Struthio camelus: one gene and its partner. The protein of the gene in region 1 purifies or fractionates together with the protein of each later gene. This does not show direct contact. Links are inferred from orthologs where the notes say so. Each region holds a gene or a part of one and is shown on either strand. Other genes may lie near its edges.

Region 1 (10,627 bases):
AGAGAAGATTCTTCCTGTTTTCCTGGCCTGGGCACAGTGGGGAGAAAGATGAGAAGCCTAGAGCAGTAATTCCAGGGCACGGTGCTATTATCAGGAATCAAGTGGAATGCTGCTGCCTGCTGCTAGCAACATCTCAAGGGACAGAAAATAAGTTCAGAAGGAAAAAAAAAAAGTGACAGGTAAAAAAAACCTCCTCGCTTTTATATGCTAGAGGATGTTTTCTGTTCTCTTTGGGTCTTAACACTGCCAGCTGAGATACCCAAGAGGAAGCATAAATTTGAAGGACTAGAATCAACACAGGTTTTTTTTTTTTTATAGACCAGGATCCTGCCTTGAGTGAAAGGAGCAATGGCAATGTAATATGCCAAGAAGGATACATAAAAACTGTAAATCAATTTAAACTCTCATATGTGCTACCTTATTGCAACTGTAATTTGTGTTTGCTTTAAGCAGTTTTCTCCATGTTAAACTTAATAATCCCCCAGAGTACTAAATGTTAAAGGTCCTACTGTGTTAAATACTGTTAAATACATACGAAGACATCCCATTGCCTAGAAGACCTTTCAATCTAGGGCCAGTAATACTAAAGGGAAAGTATATATCAAATATGCAGTTTAATGTGATTTTAATGACGAAATTCTGCTTATCTTCTATTCAGGTGCCTTGCAACCTCTCCATCATTAATCGACTGATTTCCCGTAAGCGTCACAGCATAGATGGCCCTTGAAGAGGTTAGTTTTTCCTCCGAAAATAATTTTATCATGTACTTCTATCATAAGTTCCTTTGGAAGATCTTTAAGTATTTCCCAAATATTCAGGAACTTAGTCTCTCTGTACCCACATACAGTCTAAACAGCTGGAAAGCAAACTACATCAAAGCATCCAAGTACTATAATCCCAGTTTCCTTGCAATTCCACATTAACGTTATACTCCTGGATTGTACACTGCTGTTCCAGCTACTGAGCCAGAACACAGCAAAGGATTTGGAAGACTGAAGTGGTGGCGGAGAATACAAAAATCCTTAGGAAGCTTCAAAGGCGATCCTCTGGGTTTCCCAATCTAAGAATAATGAAAATGAGACTGTCTTTGAAGATGGGCCAAGAGAAGCCGGAACGCAACTTCTTTTAGAGGTCATCGTTCTGCAAAGTGATGTAGTTTCACTGCGTTCTAGTGTTGGGAAAGCCAAAGTGCAGACTTCTAAAAGGTTTCAAAAGCAGGCAACTGGCTCTGCAAGTTTAAAAAAAAAAAATAGACATTTTCAATCAAAGTCCTAGAACATACATAAAAACTCGAGATCCAGTTATCTTAATGTCATCTCAGTTGTACTTCCCCTCAAAGCCTTCCTAATATTTTGAAAAACTGAACAAGGAGCGGGGAAAGGGTTGTGTAATAATGTAGGAATTAGGAAAAAAGAATTGTCACTGCTTTTGTTCTGTAGGTAGAAAGTTCCTATGATTTCCACTGACACTAAAAGAAAAAAAATACATTTTTTCCAAGTCTGAAAATCAACTTGTGCTTTTCTAGAAAAATTTTTGGGTTTGCATCTCAGCTTAACTGAGCCTTCTCAGTAATTACTCATTCTAGGCTGGATATTGTATGTTTTCCTAAGCTACCTTGAATTGTAAGGAGGAGTGAGTTTCTCTTTGGTAATACTTCGGGGGGTGGGGAGAAGTAGGCTTAAAAACCACTGAACTGAAACTAGTGGAATAACAACCAAGAAGCCCAACAATATAAACTGCTATGAATGCAAGATAAGTGGAAAATAACATTTTATTTATAAAGAAAGCAAATAAAGGGAATGCACAGCACCTCACTAAAAGGATTAGGATACAAGCATTAAAAGATAATAAATTGAGACTCAGAGTGCTCTTCAAGGACATATACTTTGATGATGAACAATAAATAAAATTAAGCAATAGAAAATTTAAGATCTTTATATGGGGAAAAAAAGTCTGAGTAGTGACAATCTACTAGGCTATGAAAGGGCCTTCTAAAGGAAGCTATGAAAAACTTACTCTGCGCCATTAAACTTGGGCTGACAAAGATCTTGAAATAATCTTCACGAAACAGTTCTGTATTGAGGAAGAGAAAGGCCAGCCAAAAAAAGAAAAAACAAAGTTATATTGCCAATTCTAGTTCCAAGATCCACTTGAAGGTTTTTAACATAACATCTTCCATTCAAGCCTGTTATTTAGGACAAAATAACGCTAACAATAAATGATGATATAGAAAAAGATGATTGCACGAGTATCAATTGGGAAACAAAAAAGTTTAAGGAAAAACTCAGTAATAGTAAATGATATCAAAATATTTTTCAAATGATTTTTTCAATATACATTTTCAAATTCATTGGAAGTTAAAGCCAAATTTGCATTTTTAATAGTTATTGTCTAACAGACAGTGGCCTCTCTGAAGGTGAGAAAATGAGTATTCTTAGACATGCACGTGTTTTCATAATCCCTCACGGATGTATGAAAAATAATAGAAACAAAATCTGTGTATGAAACAAGCTGGAAAATGAATAATTTCTACACCTTAAGTCTAAACTGATAATCTTATGCATTATCACTACAGCAAAAGTATTCCTTCAGACAGAGCTAGCTGAGACCATTCATCCAGATTTAAGAGAAAACATAGAACTGTCTCATTTACACTATACATGGGGTATAAATTTACCTACCATGTAAAAAAGCTGAAACCACAGAAAGATACATCTGTTTTCACAGGGATAGTCGCAAGCTCTCTCCCTGCTCACCTGTGTCAGCTCTACCAGTAATGAGCATAAGCACTAATATCACTAGGTTTTGTTCCTTCATAGCAAATCCCTTGTACAGATTTATAAATGTGACTCTGATGGCAGTACTACCCATTAAGACTCTCACATCAAGAGGCCGACAGGCACTTTAAGACTTGGGTTGATTATCTTTTCTTAAAAAGAATCTTTCTCAACATTAATCAAATTGGCCAGCTCCCAGTAGGAAAGTACTAATGCCTACCACAGGCAACACAAAACTAACCTTCATTCTGCCCTATAGGGGATCTAATATGGGTCTCATATGACATGCACAGGAGCAGGAAGGACCAAATGTTCCAAATTACTTCAAAGATAATGGCAAAAAAGTACATATAGAATTCACAAAGTGTTTTTGCTGGTAGAGGTCCCATTGGAACTGCATACAAGTTTCGTGCACGAGATTCTTTTATCAGTGGTAATCATTGGGTCCAAGGGAACTAGGGATAGAGTAGGTCCAGCTGCTTCAGTCCCACCTTCCTCTCGTGTTGGTAAGAGAAAATTACAGTGTGCCTACAGCTTGCAATTGTCATGCTGATTCAGAATTCACGGTAGGTTATGACTGATTCTACCACTAAGAGTTAATGTCTTTTCCCCTCTCTCTCTTCACTTACTGGTAATAAAAAGAAAAATCAGAAATTCCAAACGACCTTCCAGGATTTATGCAAAGTCTCCATGTCTCAGGCTGCCTTTCACAATGACATTTTCCTGGTGTGGCAGTGCTATAAAATGCCTTTACTTTTTTTTCCCCTCCCCCTACCTCTGGAGAAGGGTGCGTTCCAGAAGTTTCCCATTTTTACAACGCTCCTCGAGAAAATGCATAAGGCTTGGCACTTAAGAGTGACATTATTTTTATTTATTATTTTTATTTGGGTGGTCAATGAAACATCAGTGAAATAAAAATAGAAGAAAAGATGGCATGTCTGAAGAATGTGCCTATCTCAGAGATTTAAAGGGAAGCCAATTAGAGGCTGACAACACACACTTACCCAACATTACTCCCAAATGAAGCTACTAATCCCAAGGCACGATTTGTTAAAGCAGCATTATAGCCTTCACTTAACAACCTGAATCCCACCACTTTTGGGAGATGATTACTGGTCCTGCAGCAGCCAGCCTTGTTGACCTTAGGAGTGGCATACCTGAGAGCCAGAAGATACATGCCACTTTCCGTGGAGGGCCGAGGGGAAGCAAGGTGCTCCAATACAGATTGGCAGACAGAAGATAACTGTGAACCACGTTTCTCCAACAGTCCGAACGTTTTACTGCACAATGGGGCTAGGCATGCAGCTAGACTCCAGGGCAACCCAGCAATCCAGCCTCAGCAGCACCCGCTGGTTCACTTCCTCTGACAGCAGGGATTCAGATTAACCGGTAGAACCTGGACCAGAACAGCCTTGCTGCTGGTCACAAGACACACCACCACTGTTGGAGCTCTAAAATTGAACTGCTGGAAAGATGCAAGCTGCTCAAGAGCCAGCGAGTACACACAAGCTTGGCCACTCTCTCACTGCCAGCAAGATCCACACTGAGAAATACTCATAGCAAGAGATGTTACTTATTTGCCAACCCAGTTACCATATTTTGTCTGCACAGACTCCAAAGATCAAGACTCTTTCCTTGCTCCTGTGGAGCCCTTCACACTGGAGACTCCTTAGTGGCCTTAAATGGATAACTGAACTGAAAGGAAGCATCCCTCACTTCACCCCAATGCCTCAGGTCACAGATACAGCGCCGACAAGAAAGCCAAAATAATCTGCTCCCTGGCATAAGAATGCATACAAAGCTATAATGGAAGTATGATTCCTATCCCTCTCCAGCCTTCCTAGAAACTGAATGTTAATCTTTCATTAATCTTAAAAAAACAAAACAAAACAAAACGCCAAAAACAGCTCTTGTCGAACAAGACAGAAATCTTGCCTGGAAAAGCAGGATGAATCAAACCAGAACACTGCTGATATTTTCGTATTTTAAAGAGAAGGAAGGAGCACAGTGGCTTTAAACCTGCTAGAGCAGTGACTGGGAGAACACATCAGCTCGAGCTGGGGAAAAATATCAAGTCAGATAGGAAGCAGAGGCATCTCCTGAAGTGATTATGCTAAGAAACGACTTCAGAGTTAGCGCTCCAAGGTAGGAGAGCATAAACAGAGACACAATTGCTGGGGAAAGAAAAACCCCAAAACAACAACCAAGAGCAGAGATCTTCATCGTTGGAAACACTCCCCGATTATGTGATTGATCGGGAGTGAATGTGGAGCGCCCTGCCACAGATCAAAGAAACATTAGCGTTAATCTCCGTCTGTATGTAGGGGAAAGGGCCACTGCTAGGGCTAGCCAACGTTTATTTATTTATTTTTCCCTCCTCCTGACATCGAGTGAAAAGCCAGTGCAGGTCCCTGAGAAGGTACCATTTAAACGGTCACCTGCACCCTACAGCCACGGCATGTCGTGGACTGGGCAGGCACTGCGTGCCGGGCCCCCAAGCGCCAGCTCCCCCCGAGGAAGGGCCCCCCCCCGCCGCCCACCCCGGCCCCCAAGGCGGGGGCATTTCGGACCTCGGCTTTTCCGGCCTTCCCCCCTCACGGAAGGGGCAGTTTTGGCATCGGCACAGTTTAGAGGACCCCCACCCCACTAACCTTGGAAGGAACAATCCTTCACCACGCCTGAAGCGGGTGACGGGGGAAGTAAAGAAACGCCCCAAGGCAGGGCCGAGGGCAGCCGGCCGGGGCGGGGGGCGACTACCCCCGCCCCCGACGGGGGAGTCCCCCTCCCTCCTCTTCCTCCTTCCGGAGGAAGGCCGGGGGGGGGGGGGCTCCCCACGCCGCCAGGCCCCCCGCAAGACCTTCCTGCAGCCTCAAGGAGAAGCCGCGGCGGGCGCCGGGCGGGGGGCGGCGGCACCGCCCCCTCCCCCGTGACTCACCCGCCCGCTCCCGGCCGAGTCGAGCCGCCGGCGGCCCGCGCTCTCCCCGGGGCCTCCCCCGCCCTCTTCATCCCCGCCCCGGCCCAGCCTGGCGGCCGGCCCCAGTCAAGGGGCGGGTTCGGGTCCGTTACTACCGCGGGCAACCGCCGCCGCGCCCCGAGCCAGGCGGCTCAGCCGGGGCGCGTCGCCTCCGAGCCCGCCGGGCGAGGCGGTCTTCCCCCGTCCATGTGCCGCCACCCTTCTCCTTTTCCTTCCCACCGCCCCGGGTTTCATTTCAGTCGTTTCTCCCCCCTTCCCGCCCCGACCGTTTTCCGAGGAGCTGCGCCCCTCCCTGCACAGGGCTGTGTCACCCCTTCCGCCCCCCCCACCTCACCCCACCCCGCTCGCCGGGCACGGCAGCGCGCGTGCGCGGCGGCAGCGCCGAGGCGCGCGCGCGCCCCCGCCGCCTTCTCCCTCCGCGGCTCCGGCCGCCCCTCCTCCCGCTGATTTGAATATGCTAATGAGGGAGCTGCCCGGTGCCCTATGGCGGGGCCGGGAGGCGGTCACGTGGCGTGGGGACGTGTCTTTCGGGGGCGGGCCCCGACCTGCCCAGGCTGCCTTAAAAGCGGGCGGCGAGCGAGGAAGCGCCTCAGTCAGAGAGAGAAAGTGCCGGGGTGGTGGGGCTGCGGCTGCTCCGCCTGAAACTTCTGAGTAACATCAACAGGGGGAGGGGAGGGCGGGCGGCGGTGGAGGAAGGTGGAAGGCGGGGGGGGGGGGGGGAAGGTTAGCAGCAGCGCAGCCCTATCCGCCTCTCCCTCATAAACCAGCCTGTGTTGGGCTGAGCAGGCCCCTCACACAAAGGAGGGCAGGGCAGGCAGGGCTGCCCCCCTTCCCCCCCTCCTTGGGCGAGGGGCAGCGGGGAGGCGCCCTTCCCCGTGCAGAGCACTCACAGCCACTTACTCCTCTCCTGTCCCCCCCAACCCCGTCTTCTTCTTCTTCTCCTCCTCCTCCTCCTCCTCTTCTTCCCCTTTTCCTCCCACCCCGCCCCGTGGTCCCCCCTCAGCCCCCCGCCCTCTGTCCATGTAGCCGCCCGGCCGCCGGCCCCTCCGCACTATGCCCATCTTACTCTTCCTGATAGACACGTCCGCCTCCATGAACCAGCGCACCCATCTGGGCACCACCTATCTGGACATAGCCAAAGGCGCTGTAGAGACTTTCATGAAGGTACCGGCTCTGCCTTGCGAGAGGAGGCGAGAGAGAGCGAGAGTGACTGCGCGGGGAAGGGGAGGGGGAGGCAGGGCGCGGGGGGCCGCCGGGGCCGGGGGCGCGGGGCGAGGGCGGCCGGCCGGCCGGGCGGCAGTGCGTGTGTGTGCGGGCAGGGAGGGCCGGGCCGCACCGCTCCGGGCCGGGCCGGGGGGCTCCAAGGCGGGGGCCGCCCCGGCGCCGCTACCTCCGCGTTCACCCTCTCGCTTTGTCCGCCACCCCCGCAGCTCCGTGCCCGCGACCCGGCCAGCAGGGGCGACAGGTACATGCTGGTCACTTTCGAGGAGCCTCCTTACGCTATCAAGGTAACCCCCGTTAACCCTCCCCCCCACCTCCCCACACACATACCGCCCCCCCCACCCCGTTCCCCCGCCCCGTGCGGCCCCCGCGGCCGGCGCCGCCCGCCGCGCCTGGGCGCACACGCACGCTCGGGCTCCGGCGGCGGCGGCAGCGCTGACATCAACATGGCCGACATCCCCCCCCCCCCCCCCCGTGCGGTGCGCGAGCAGCAATGAACTGTGGGGGATATTTATTCGAGTTGGGAGAAGTGACAGCAACTCCGCCGAGAGTTGGGCCCGGGGTGGGGGGGGTCGGGAAGGGGAAGGGGAGGGGAAGGGAGGCCGCCCGCCTGCCCGTCGCGGCCCGTGCCCGGCGGGGGGCCGGGCGGCGGGGCGAGCACGGCCGCCGGAGAGCGCCGCGCAGCCGGCGAAGAGCCGAGCTGCCGTAGTTTGAAGAGCTGCAAGAAAGAGTTGGGCATGGATGACCTCACCGAGATTTCGTCCTGCGGAGAGAATCCAAAATACGGCTGGCAGGGGTGGGCTGCTACGATTTTTTTGTGTGTTTTTTTTTGGTTTTTTTTTTTCCTTTTCTCCTCCACGACGACGCGCTCGCCAGCCTGAGGGAGCAACCGCTAAAATATTGCTCGCTCGCCAGGCGTTTGGGTAGCCCTTGTCATTTGCTGTGTGCGGAGGGGAAAGCGCTGCTCTGTAGCCCCAGAGGAAAGCGTTATCCTGTGCACAGCTCCTGTCTGAAGGATACGTCTTCTCACGTTTCTCTTTTCAGGCTGGATGGAAAGAAAACCATGCAACGTTTATGAATGAACTCAAAAACCTTCAAGCTGAAGGACTTACGACTCTTGGCCAGTCCCTAAGGACAGCTTTTGATTTATTAAATTTAAATAGATTAGTAACTGGCATAGACAACTATGGGCAGGTAGGTTGACTATTAATAGGGGGAAAAATCATAAAAGACAAACTTTCCAGGGACAGCAGTTAACTAGTTGTCCAAAATGGCATCTTCATGAAATACTGAATGTGGGGCTTCTTCAAAAGAAAAACAGAGCTCAGGTAGCTTGAGGAAATGTGGTAGTTCACTGTTTTTTGTTTTTTTTTAATCCGACTTTCCTTTCTTATTTCAGTTATTCTTCAATTCTTAAACGCCAGCTTAGCCTTCAAGTTGACCTTTCAGTTAAACTTTGTCTTTTTTTTCATAACAAATTTTATGCTTCAGAACCTTAGCTGATAAGCCTGATGGGATTTGAAAACTTTTCCTTGCATATACAGTGCTGCATAATCAATTACAAGTAATTATAAAGTACACTCTGAGAAATGAGCTACTTTTTGAAAGGCACAGCATGTTTCAGAAATACTGAGTAGAGCATGTCTTTTTCAAAGTCATTTCTTTCTAGTGAGTTACTACTTTCTCTGAACACCTGTATTTTATAAAACTCCCTGCTGTATCAGAGCCTTGGAGCTGTGCTTTTCTAATGCCTGTGATGTGCTTTTCTAATGCCTGTCACTTTAAAGCAGGACATCTTTTGGGGTATTCCAACATTCTTTTGGTCAGTAGTGTGAGTTGCCATAAGCCAGTAACTTTACATTGAACATATGCTTTAGGAAGCATTCACAGTTGTATCTGGCACTGGATCAAACCTGGATTTGTTTTGCATCATAATGGACATGATTAGTATCAGGCAAGTATATTGTGCGTTTTTCACAGAAAACATACTAACTTGAATCTCCCCATTTCATTTGTTGCTCTCATGCAAAATGTTGCTCTCCTGTCTGTGGATTAGTTACTCCACTTGATAGTTAACATGGGTATGTGATTGTGAAAATAAGTCCCCTCCCTCCAAGTCTGAGCACAGTCTCTGTGATAACATGCCATATTTGTTTGGGAAGGAAATTCATCTCTCTCATGTTGCATTGTATGACTTTGCCACTAGGTGATCAAGTGAGCCTAAACATTTTTAAAATGCCAGTTTAGTGATGAAACTTTAAAAAAAAAAAAAAGTGCTACTTCTACACGTTGCTTTTTTTTCCTCTCTGTTCCCATTGCTCTCCTCTTATACGTCTGTGTGCTAATATCTTCTGCTTTCCATCTTTTTTGGTTCAGTTACATGAACTATACAAAGCTGTAACTTTACATAAAAATCAAGGCACACGCGTTAAATACTTTCCCTTTACCACTGGTATGGATGATGTTAAAATTCTAATCAAGTGAGCCAGTTGTGCTCAGCTCAGTTCACGTCATGACTGTTTTGACTGGTTAGTGTTCATTACTGCAAATAGCCGCTCTTGTCTGTATAGCAGTGGCTTTTTCTTTGTCTGGTTTGTTTTGTTTACCAGGCTCTCTCAGGGCTTGAACCCACCCTGGCTTATGTGTTTTAGTTGCTCTGTTCCACATGTGGAACAGACCGTTGAAGAGGTGTTCAAATGTGCAGTCAGGTGACTATATGCTAACCTTTTTTAGTCCTGATTAACAGATGGATTTATGGCAAGTACCAGATCATCTGCTGCTGAAGTCTCTGGTTCCTGTTCTGGCCCTACTAATCAAATTTGCAGGTTTTCATAAATCAGACTAAATTTAGGAGCACTTAACTGGTCCCTCAGCGCTTGCGGGATGAGTTTTGGTGCAGTTAACTTTCCTCAAGTTCACATTGGCCTTTGAGCAATAAGCTTTATCAACCTGTCGTTGTTGATGTTACTTACTTTTACTTCAGTGGGTATTTACCCATACATGCCATGAGAAACCTTAAGAATTCGGGATAATAGAAGTAGTCAGAACACTCAGTTATATTTGAAATAGTTTTCACCCTGAACATAAAGTACTGATTCACTTGTTTTTAAGGAGTTAAAAAAAAAAAAAATTAATACCATAGCATTAAGTTAGCACTTAACTAAAATACAGCAGAGGTGTTTAAAGAGTAATTATCTTAGAATGGGAGGAGAATATAGTTCTACAAAAGCACCATATTCAGATGATCTTGGATGTGGTATTGTGTGAAGTAATAAAAATACACATTTATTAAGCTTTTAAAAAAAAAGCTTAATAAATTCTCTGGCTTAACATCTTTTTGCTAACATGCTTATTTTTGATGGATTGACAGGCTTCTAAAATATTTGCTGAGATCCACTTTTGTTTCTCATATATGAATTGTAAATCAGATTTTTAGTATACATACATATGACATAAAGTTGGTGAGATTGTCTGGTTATGCCATCTAACAACACGATGTCATGTCCCCCTGCTAACGTTGAAGTGTTTGTTTAAATGGCAGCGTGACTCACTGCACTTGATTTCTTTTGAAGTAGACCAGAGTTCTCCATCAGCTGACTTCCTGATCAAGAGTGATGGCTGAATGGTCATTCTGAAATTGAGGAAAAGCTCCAGC
Region 2 (11,026 bases), on another chromosome or scaffold:
AACTAAATGTTCCAGTCCCCCTTACAAGAACAAAGAAACACTGCTGATAAGGCCCTAGGGAATAACAGAAGCTGCTGCTAAAATCTTCCTGTTTGAAATACATGCAACTCATAGAAACTCAGCTTCCTACTCACCCTAAATGTCTGTCTGGCGTCATGTTGTAATCACCCTAATGGAAGAAGAGAAATCCGTTTATTTTCTCAAGGTAATAGGACACACACTATTAAAAGGAGATGCAGGTTTCTATACATGGTGTTGTGCATACTTACAGTGTAAACAACAGACTCGCATCCAACCTTAATCTGGAACATGGCTGCTCCTAGCACATGGCCCGCATAGTACGCCTTGATCTCCAACTCCTCATCCACCTGCATGAACAGGCAAATAGTGCAGTAGTGCACACATTTTAAAAAGATAAAATTGCTCCGCCTTCCACAGCAATCCAGTTGGTGTGACTGAAGACTATGCAGCAACGGTCGTTTACCTGAACCGTCTGGTGAAGGTGAACAGCAACAACTTTTTTCATGCAGTCTTTAATCATTTGGGACGTGAAGAAGTTAGTTTCCCCTTTCTTATCTACAGTGATTTTCCTATAGTCCTCCAGGAGGATGGGACAGATGGCTTTGGTAGGATGTGTCATGTAAATAGGCCCATCATAGCCGACCATTTCACTGAAGTACGGCAAAGCTCCACAATGGTCCAAATGAAAATGACTGCAAAAAAGACAGAAAAAATGAAGATGTTGCACAGGAATTTAGCCGGAGGTCTTTGGCGCTTGCCTGGTTCTCAAATCTCGTTTCAGGCTTTTAAAAGCACTGCACAACACAGAGGAACTTAAGAACCAACCAAAATACGAACGATCGACCTGAAACTTGTTTGGGTTACTAGTTTTAGCATCGCACAGGGAAAGAACAGCATAGAAAGCGTTCCTGTTTTCCATTTGAGCTGTAACAAGGAAGTAGTTTTCTCACCTGATGATCACGCAATCTAGGAAGTCAGTCAGCCTTCCGTTCTGAGTGATGTAAGAAAAATCCGGAAAGCGCCTCTGCAAAACATAAAAAAGCAGGTTATCTATTACTAAACAAAGCCAGTTAATGCTAAATTATTAATCCAGCAGAACAATGGCATGAACTGTCCACAACACTGGGAACACTGTGTAATCCATCTCAAGGCAAAATTGCAGTAGGTCAGCAGACTGGGCTGGTGTCAGCAATATGGTAAGAGCTGTACATGACACTGTTAAGGCTTATGTGCAGATAGAGTCAAAGAGAAAAAAGGGGGGAGGACCGTCAGGGGAGAGTCAGAGAACCTGATCTTGCAAACAAGTAAATTACAGCCAAGTTTATCTTCAAAGCAAAATAGGTGACCAACGCATTTGAGCTCACCCACAGGCATTAAGGCAAAAAGCCTCAAAATCTTTTCTGAAAAGGCACGTTTGCTCTCTGTCGTGCCTTGAATCTTTCTACTTGTGCAAAATATTTTTGCATTTATGCCTTTCTTACCTGTATCGGGTAACCAAATACCAGGAGTATTATCTAGCTCTACCTCTGAGGCATCAGCAAAGCTTCCATACAGCATGTCTTGGTGTGGATCCCACAAGTAATTAATCGCTCAAGAACAAGCCTCCTCACAGGAGCTATCTAACTAACGGTGGGATTAACGCTTTAAAGTATAGAAGATGCCTGCCCATATGAGGTGCAGCAACAACAAAAACAAGTGGGAATGGGGCATTCACAGCTTGCTTAATATTTTTTCAGAGGCTACGACCCAGGGAGAGGGAAAGAGGATGGCCGGATGGTAGAACTTCACAGATTGGAAATACCTGAGGGGTAGCTCTTGCACAGGAAGACAAGATTTTGGAAGGGAAATACTAGTTCAATCTCGGCAGTAACCCTTCTCCAGCAGTGGCCGATACAGATGCCCAATAGTGCACACCCAGCTAATAGCACCCATGTGCCATGCCAGATGGGTCAGGCAACATTCAAATGAAGGTGAATAGGCCAGGACGATGAACAAGGAGCTCTGCTAGGAAAGGCCAGGCAGATATGCCTTAAAAGCATCTCCATTCAACATTCAGGTTTCCCCACCATACTCACATCATCATTGTAGCCCATGTGCATCCCGCAGTCAAGCATTACGTTCTTCCCTGCGATGGACACTAGGATGCAGCTGCGCCCCACATCCTGGCCAGCCCCTGGACCCAAACAAAAGGAAGACAAGCAAGGCATCTCTAGCAATACTTGCAGTCACTTCAAAAGAGAAGCACTGAAAGATCTCTACAAACTTCAATCTCTAGCCCTAGCTCCCTTCCAGGGCAGGAGAAGGCCACATCCTTTCTTCCAAGCAAGTGGATCCGTTAGAGGGAAGCAGATGTGAGCTCACTTATCCCATTCCCTAAGCTTATGAGAGGGCCTTCCAGCTCCAGTCGCACAACTGCACTTACTACAGCACCGAGTCCAAGCCCATAAGCGGTTCAGATGCAGGGTACATTTGTTTTCTGCCCGGTACTGTGCAAGAGCAGCAACATAGTTTCAAAGCAGTTTTAGGTAAGAGCAAAATAATCTCTTAACTACCTGAAAATATCCAAATTGACCTATTTCTTCTGAGCTACGGGAAATGACTAGCCCAACGGCAGTGTCAATCGCATGAAGCCCAAAGTTCCCAGGGTTGTGCCCCACCACAAATACTCTGCCTCTCAGTGAAAGCACAGATTTCCCTAATGCACCAGGAAGTCTGTTCCAAGCTAGAAAATGACTGACTAGGATAGAGCAGTTTTCCTGCTTGGAACATCCACTGCCCTCTCAGCACTTAAATGCCTGTCAACAGCTTCTGTGCAACTCCCAAAATAATGAAAAATTGCTTCCTATGGATCTCCAGCTCCATCGAGTTTACTAATACTCTATCCATGCTGTACAATACTACAATAAATAACAGAAGACCTCTACAGTACTAGATATGATCTACAAGCCCTTCACCAATATCTGTTAGTGAATCTTTTCATTTAAGAATAGAGTTTGCAGGCTCTATTTGAGTGGCACTTGTTTGAACAGCAAAAGGAGGACAACGACACCCCTATGTTGCACAGATGTAACATACTCAAGTATACAACTGTGACCAGTTTTTGTGGCAGGGAAAAGTACATGCATCTCCAGCGGTCTAAAACACGTTATTACTAACTCCAAATTTCAACTCCAGTTTCGCTTGTTTCTTTTCAAGGAAATCACAGCATACAAAGTTTTTCAGCATGTCTATTTCAGGACCATTTTAGGTTTGGACTTACCCAAGGGAGTGACTTTTATTTCAGGCATTTTCATAAACTCTAGAACTTCAAGCAATACGATAAATTATCTCAGAGATACTCTGATGACAGCCATAAAGTCAAGAAAAGATTTAGCCTTTAGTCACAGCATTGCATTTGTTTTTCAGTATCAGACAGAAGACTTCAGCTGAGGCCTCCCCTTCTTCCTAGAGGGAAGACAGACAGACAACAGAAGTCAGATAAACACACACATTATTAGCTTCTCCTAGAAATTCACATATGTTTGGCTTCACTAGTAATAGTCACGCTTTCTTATGCTCCCTGAAAGCGCACATCAATTTCTTTCTGTTCAGATCACCTTTAATCATCAGATCATCTCAGCATCAGAAGCCTGGCACCACTTGCGCCTTGGAGACAGCCAACCCTAAGGCTTTTCACGCGCGCGACGCCCATCAGCAGGCCGCTGTGAGGAAAGGGCTCCCGCCCCCGCGACGGGCGGCCAGCCCTCAGGCGGCCGTTGCTCCCTCGCGCCGCCGAACGCCCTCCCGAAGCAACCTCGGTTTTGCGAGGCGACACCTCCTGAAACCACCTCGGCGAGCGAGCCGGCCGGCCGGCCTCCCGCTCCCCAACACCGCCGCCCGCCCGCCCGCCCTGCGGCCCGTAGCACACCTACGCCTGCCGCCGCCAGGCGACCCGAATAGGGCCCGCCGCGCCGCGCGCGCGCACACTCGCCCCGCGCACCCCTTCCCCGCCCCGCCCCAACGGCTCTCACCGCCCCGCCGTCCCTGCTCCGCGACGCCTCCGCGGCAACCCGCCCTTCCCCGACCCGGCGGAGGAAGGGGACGTAACGCCGCTCGCGCTTTGGCCAATAGCGCGCCGCGAGGCGCCCCACCGCCCCGCCCTCCTTCCTGCGCGGGGATTGGTCGCGCGGCGAGTGACGCGCTACCCGGCGCCGGGGCGATGGCGGGCCAGCAGGGCGTCTTCTGCCTCAGGGAGGTCCTCGTCGCCTTCCAGACGTGCGTCACGGAGCGGCGGGAGGTGCTGCTCGGCCCCTACCTGCGCGGATGGAGGGGGCTCATCCGGTGAGTGACCGCGGGCGCCGCTGCCCGGCCAGGGTGCCCGCCCGGCCGCCGCTAACGCGAGCCGGTCTCTCCCGCACGCAGGTTCCTGAACAGCCTGGGCGCCATCTTCTCCTTTGTTTCCAAGGACGCGCTGGCCAAAATACAGATCATGGAGAACTACTGCAGCGGCGAGCAGCAGCAGAAGTACCTGACGCTCCAGTCCATGGTGCAGTACGAGGTGGCCAACGGGCTGGTAGATACCCAGAAGCGGTCGGGGCACCCTGACTCCGGCTGCCGGACGGTGCTGCGCCTCCACAGAGCCCTGCGCTGGCTGCAGTTGTTCCTGGAGGGGCTGAGAACTGGTCAGGAAGACTCCAAGACATCAGTGATCTGCACGGACTCTTACAACGCTTCTCTGGCTAACTATCACCCCTGGATTATTCGCAAGGCTGCCACTGTGGCCTTCCATGCTTTACCTTCTCGAAATGCATTCCTTGAAATCATGAATGTGGGCACCCCTGAGGAGGCTGTCGTTATGCTGGGTGATGCCTTACCACATATCTGCAATGTCTATGGGATCACTGAGGAGCTCTATGCCCAACATAAGCTGCTTGATCTCCCTTGATGCGATGGATGTTAAACAGCAACTCCGCATCCTGACAGAAGTGGAAGGTGTGAAAACTATGTTTTCATACATACACAAACTATGGCACTCTTCCTTTCCTTTTCCAGTAGAGAGATAGCAAGCAAACTGGCAAAGCTATTCAGGATGCCTCACTTCGTAAGAAAAAAAAAAATGCACGCATGCACATATGCATCTGCCTCAGCTCTACAGGAAGAAAGAAGTCTAATAGCTTGCTTAAATGGATTTCTTTCCTCCCTTCTCCTGGATTCACCTTCAAAACTCTAGCTAGGTTTTGTGGAGGTTGGCTGGTTTCATTTTTTAAGCCAAACTGAACACCTTTAGCAACTTCTCTGTATTTACACCAATAGTTAGGATCTCATATGACTAAAATTTATGCATTAAAATTCAAGTTCTAACTTCCTGATATGATATTCTAAACATGCTGACACTACATGTCAGCTCACTTTGCCACTTTGTTTACAAGCCGTTCCCCTGAATAGGGCTGACCTTTGCTCTCTCTTATACTTTAACCTTGAAAACAGAATCCAGAATAAGGTGTCTCTGAAAAAAAGCTCTTTTCTTGGTGGTCACAGACTCACCCGATGATGGCTGCTAATTCTGTGCCACCTAGTTTTAAAGATGGAAATGTTGTTGCCTTTTGTTGCAATGAGATACTGTTCTTCCTTTGCGCATGGCGCCATTAAGCAGGAATGTTCTTTTCTGTGGAGCTTCCCCTGCTCGTTATTTTTGTATATGCTTTATGCTTCATGGGAATCAGAGCAATTTTTAGTATGTACTACACAATACTATATATCCAGATAAGGCTCCAAATTCTACTTGTTCTGTTTTCAAGCTGTGCTTCTAAACTGTGTTTTATCATGTTTTGGGGTTTTTTTTTTTCGTTTTGTTTGTTTGTTTGTTTGTCTTTACGACTGTCATATGCATACAGAAATGACATCTCTGGGGAGAAACCTGAATTTGGGCTGTAAGGCACGACCTTGTGAAGCTTACGGCTTCTATTTCAAATCAGTTACGGTGTTTCATGCACAGAAGTCACTTTATTTTTATATATGTGTGTGAAGTGTCTAAAATATGTGAACTAGGTAAAATGAAGTTTACTTAGCTTTTTAAAAGCAGAAGAAACATTAGAAAGACATGAATACTTGAACACTTGGGAGAGGAGGGAGCACCCCACAAATTTAGTCACGTATTTTGGCTGTATCTCTCAAATAGGAGGCACTTGGACTACTTCAACACTGTATGATTCACAAAATCACCATTACTTCATGGGATTAGTCTAACTGGTCATTAAACTGCTTGAGCAACTTGCCTCTGAAGAGCATCCTTTACAGGAATGCTTTATTTTTTGTGGTGTTGGAAGAAACAAAGTGTTCTTATATTCATATCCTGTCCTTCACTAGCAGCGTCTGATTAATTTACGTAGTGATCAGATATGAAACCAATCATGAGAAAAAACGCAGATGAAATTATAAGCTGCTGACTGAGCCCCTATTCTGACTACTCACATCTGTCAACGATGTTTTTTTGCCTGAAGAAAGGAAAATTAGTTTCCTTGCACATCCTAAGTGGAGGTTTTCTTGCTATACTGTGAAAACAAAAATATCATTCCCTTTCTGCTAAGACCACCTTAAAAAAATAACATAATTCCTTAGGATAAGTCCATATATTAAAATGGAGCAGTTCCATGTTACAAACTACAACATATCTCTTCCTGTCCAATACAGATACAGTTGGTATTTCATCTGTGTGGGGTAGTAAATGCCACAATATGACTGAAGTTTCTTTAAACTATGTCACAGTGTTCTGTGCCAAGTGAAGATAAGTTGTCTCTCTCTCTCTCGTGGGTTTAATGCAGAAATGGTAGTGTTACCACGTGGAAAAATTATTTTTTCTCCCTTGTCACATTCATTCTCAGCTGTTGGTCTTATGAGATAAATATTAATGCTGAAAGTGAACTTGATTTTTCCAATTAAAGAATCAAACTTTCTCAGTAGGGGAAAAACGTGTTGGAATTTTTTGGATAGCCAGTCTGTGCAAAGTATGCTTCAAGTAAAATACACCATTTTCCACTGATTTTCATGCTCTCATCTAAAAAAGGTATTTCTTAGTGACACTTATTTTCTTGGCGCGGTGCCCTATCTCCAAACAATGGGAACTTTTTAACAGCTTCAGTTAGTTACTACTCAGTAAAACTAAGGTCCTGCACTTGGCTTCGAGTCTGGCTGCTTTCATTAACGGGGCTAAATCCAAAAGTAAACCTTCACTGATAGTGACCGCTGTACTTAAAAACTGCAATAACATACAGATTCACTAGAGGGAGCTTGAATATTTTGCACAAAAGTCCATCACTTAAACTGTCTCCTATCCCAATAAAGTGTACTTTATTTCACTTGAAAGAATGAATGGGAGTAAACAGGTGCCTGTGTGCAACTCTTGCATCACTCACACACCTTTTTTTTTTTTTTTCCCTCCAGTCAGCCAAATTTGTATTTAGAGATTTTTTAAAGGAATTCTATAATTAAAGCTAACACTTAAATATTCCATTAAGGAGTGAGGGAAAATTGCAAAGGTGTCCTTAAAAGGATGTAGATAGAAACATATCTATATGTAATGTAGGCATGGAAATCTACAACTGTTGCTTGCCTGAAGCATGCATACATATACTTAGCTTTCTACAATGAGACTGCTTCTGTAAGATACTTGGAGAAATAGTCTGGCCTTGTAGCAAAAAAGGCATATCTTGCTTTGGCTGTACAAGGAAGTTCTATGATACAGTCTAAATATGTAATAAGCCAATAAAATGCGATAAATTAAACTTTCCAATTCAGATCTGTCCTGTTAACTATAATCCAAACCTGACAGAAAAACATAAACCACAACACAACTTAAATTACTTTGGTGTAGAACTGACCTGAGTAATTAAATTGAAGTTAACATCACAGGTCAGTATGAGAAAAATCTAGATTGGCCAAAAACCCTTACTAAAATAGCAATATAGCTCACCTAGCTCTTGCAGTGTAAAAATGGTCTGCTCCAGACAAGTTCCTGTGATGCTCTGAGGAAGATTTGGAAGTCTCTGCGATGAGGTGACCTTGAACTAACCAAAAAAAAAAAAAAACCATCAAAAAAACATAAAACTGCTGCATAAGACTCTTACCTTATAGTTTGGGCAACTCAACATACTATTCCAAGATTCATTTAAAAATAAACTAGGTAACATTGTCTCAGTACAGGTCACCTCTAAGTAGGGAAGAGGGTTTTCTTTCTTGCTATGACGTGAAAACCATTGAGAGATGCAGCAGGTGGCACTTCAAGGAGAAAATTAGTGGATGAAAAGGCTCAGAGAAGAATCAGGAAGCTGGAGAATAAATTTTGTACCATGGGAGGAACTTGAAACATTGTAGAGGTATAATATGTCCCAATGAGGATGAATAGTCGAGACTAAGCAAGAGCATCTGTAACTAGAGAGAAACACACAATATGTCCCTAGAGAAGAAAGCTCTCTCAGGGGCACCCTGTCCCAAGAGAACGGCAGCATTTAATGTCTTGACATTCTAGCAATAATTATTTTATATTTCTCCTGCTGCTATTTCATCTCCACTGTTCTCAAAGTTAATCCATATTGTCAGAAGGGACAGGATAAAGGAGAGAATGTTGAATAGTTTATTTAGAGAGGCTGTACTTTAAACAAGCGTTTAGGGATCAATCTTCTGGCTAAAATGAGATGTGAGGGGGAGGAAGGGAAGAAACCTCATGTTTCTCTAGCATCACACAGGACCCTGTATGAGGATAACTGCTTTCCAGGATCTCCTGGGACCAATGTTAGGAAGATAGAAAAAGGCCTGTGAAAGTGTTTTTTTATTCTTTGTGATCTTTTTAAGCATTTGTCTAAAATAGCTTTGAGAACAAACATCCAGCCACAGCTTGTTCTAGGCTTCTGGAAAGCCCTGGGTAACACTTCTGGCTCCAAAGAAGCAAATGGGTTGCCCCAAAGCAATTGTAACCCCCTGCCCCACCACCTCCATGGAGGACACAAACAGCCATGCCATGAGGGCATAGATCCAAGCAGAGTTTGGCTGGAATTTCTGTGTGGTGTCACTTTTCAGACCAAAGGATCAGTCCTGCCAGTCCATTGCAAGGCACAGCTGTGGTGCCACAAGAAGCCTCCTCCAGCAGCACAAAGGGGCTGCTCAGAGCCGGAGAAGAAATGAGGCTGCACAGAGACACAAGCACAGGCCCATATGAGAGCACAAACACACATGTATGCACATAAACACACATCTGCACGTACAAAAACAGACACGATGCACACAATAGACACATTTACAACATACTCAAGAGATACACACACAGAACATGCTCATAACAATGCACACACGACAAACAGGGCACACACAGATGCATACTCACAAGGAGTCACACACACACACACACACACACACACACACACACACACACACACACAAAAGATGCTTATAGGGACGAACCACCCATGCAAAAAGCCTTTCTATCAAACCAACAAACCAACCAACCAAAACAAAATCCATCCACGCTCTCTCTTTCTTGAGTAGAATAATGGCAGACAGGACCCACTGTACAGTAAGAAATTTCAGAAAAAGTAAGAACCTTAGGTAGACACTATCACACGCTGAAACAGCTTAAATTTATCGCAGCAATAGCAGTTCATTCCTCAGAAGGGACAAGAATCATCATTTAAAAGAGCCTAATGGTACTGTGTGAAAAAGCAGTAGCTAGTGAGGAAGCAGATATACAAATGTGCAATACCTGCTAATTGCAAGGTAACATGGGATGTAATAATTAGGCATAGGCAAACGGCAAGATTGGTTCACTTGGAGTTTCTAAGCAGTTTCATTATACACTGTGTGAAGTGCATCAATTTCGCAGCAACTCCCCCTGGGCCTGCAACTCTTTGTCTGCCTTTGTAGCTACCATTTATCATGGAACAAGTCATCACGTTTGCCACTTACATGCAGAATTATTACCTAGTTATTTGTGAGCTTTTAGAAACAGAAACCCAGAAATCCAACCATACCTAAACATATACAGCTGTGTTCCCTGCTGATCAGTAAAAGGAAGCGGCAGGCCTGAATTCTGTTTTTTTTTTTTTTTTTTTTTTTTTTTTTAAACTAAAGACAAATGCTGTCTCTCCTGCAGAGGTTAGTGGATTGGTTGAGGACTGTTTATCATGAGAGCAAGCCTATTTCATTTATTAATGACATCCAAAGAGATCTCTCTTCCCCAAGGCCTACAGGCAAAATATAAGCTAGGAGAAAACCTTAATGTGACTTGATATGCACACAGGGAAAATGCTTACTTCAGCCAGATGAGCTCAACAAGCTCCCCCAGCTGGGGTAAGATATTTTATAAGGGTATAAACAAGGCCGATTACCCACAACCCCTTCTACCTCCTGCACATGGTTCAACTGAGGCCTGCATGTAGTAAGTCCTTGCACAATGGAGGGACACAAGAATGCTCCCTGTGAGACTTCCACCAGTACAAGTTCCAGTCTGCAAACAATGGCCTTTACTCTCCACCTAAGGCGTGTATGGAGTTCAAGTACGTCATGTAATTTCTGAAATGGCACATGAAGTAGGGTGAGAAGCAATGCAACATCTTCAATCCCCATCTAATCTCCTACCCACATACAAGAAGGGATCTGCGCCCTCATAGGTGCTCCACTTGTTTTCCTATTCTTAGGAAGCGGGAAACGTCTCTCCCTGTCTTTGCCAAGGATAAATTCAATGATCTGTGGAGGGCCATATTAAGAGCTAACTGCTGTTACTCTGAGTTGGCACACCAATCTTTCTGGCCAGGTACATAATGTCTTCTAGCCAGGAGTGTTCCAGGTTTCAGAAGGGATCATGCTTACAATAGGTGGACCCTGAAGAATCTCCCTGGCTCTTGCTGGGAAGGAGTCATCACAGGAACTGAAGATCCATCCCTTAGCACAGTACAACTCCCATAATGTCCAAAGGAGAGAGGTAGGCTGTATGTAAGCAAACCCATTTACTGAGGAGAGCTAAGCTGGTACAATAAAT

What was found. Proteins that work in one complex are often made in the same cells at the same time.
Region 2: the proteins of INTS6 (region 1) and INTS11 purify together in Homo sapiens (affinity purification with mass spectrometry; 3 studies listed by BioGRID, with this or other methods). This does not show direct contact. The link is inferred for Struthio camelus from reciprocal best matches to the Homo sapiens genes INTS6 and INTS11.

Annotation. Positions count from the first base shown.
Region 1 is NC_090942.1:193,678,036-193,688,662, reverse strand, and holds the start of INTS6 (integrator complex subunit 6), read left to right. Parts: upstream 1-6,331; 5' UTR 6,332-6,402; exon of another isoform or gene 6,403-6,754; 5' UTR 6,755-6,804; coding exon 6,805-6,915; intron 6,916-7,181; coding exon 7,182-7,259; intron 7,260-8,016; coding exon 8,017-8,166; intron 8,167-10,627. UniProt on the Homo sapiens protein: Component of the integrator complex, a multiprotein complex that terminates RNA polymerase II (Pol II) transcription in the promoter-proximal region of genes.
Region 2 is NC_090962.1:3,815,721-3,826,746, reverse strand, and holds the start of INTS11 (integrator complex subunit 11), read right to left. Parts: upstream 4,343-11,026; 5' UTR 4,342-4,342; coding exon of another isoform or gene 4,220-4,341; 5' UTR 4,206-4,219; intron 4,170-4,205; exon of another isoform or gene 4,032-4,169; intron 4,020-4,031; exon of another isoform or gene 3,618-4,019; intron 3,466-3,617; 5' UTR 3,315-3,465; coding exon 3,281-3,314; intron 2,195-3,280; coding exon 2,097-2,194; intron 1,046-2,096; coding exon 972-1,045; intron 714-971; coding exon 485-713; intron 369-484; coding exon 270-368; intron 170-269; coding exon 135-169; intron 1-134. Other genes in the region: CPTP (ceramide-1-phosphate transfer protein), read left to right, coding at 4,220-4,341, 4,423-4,945.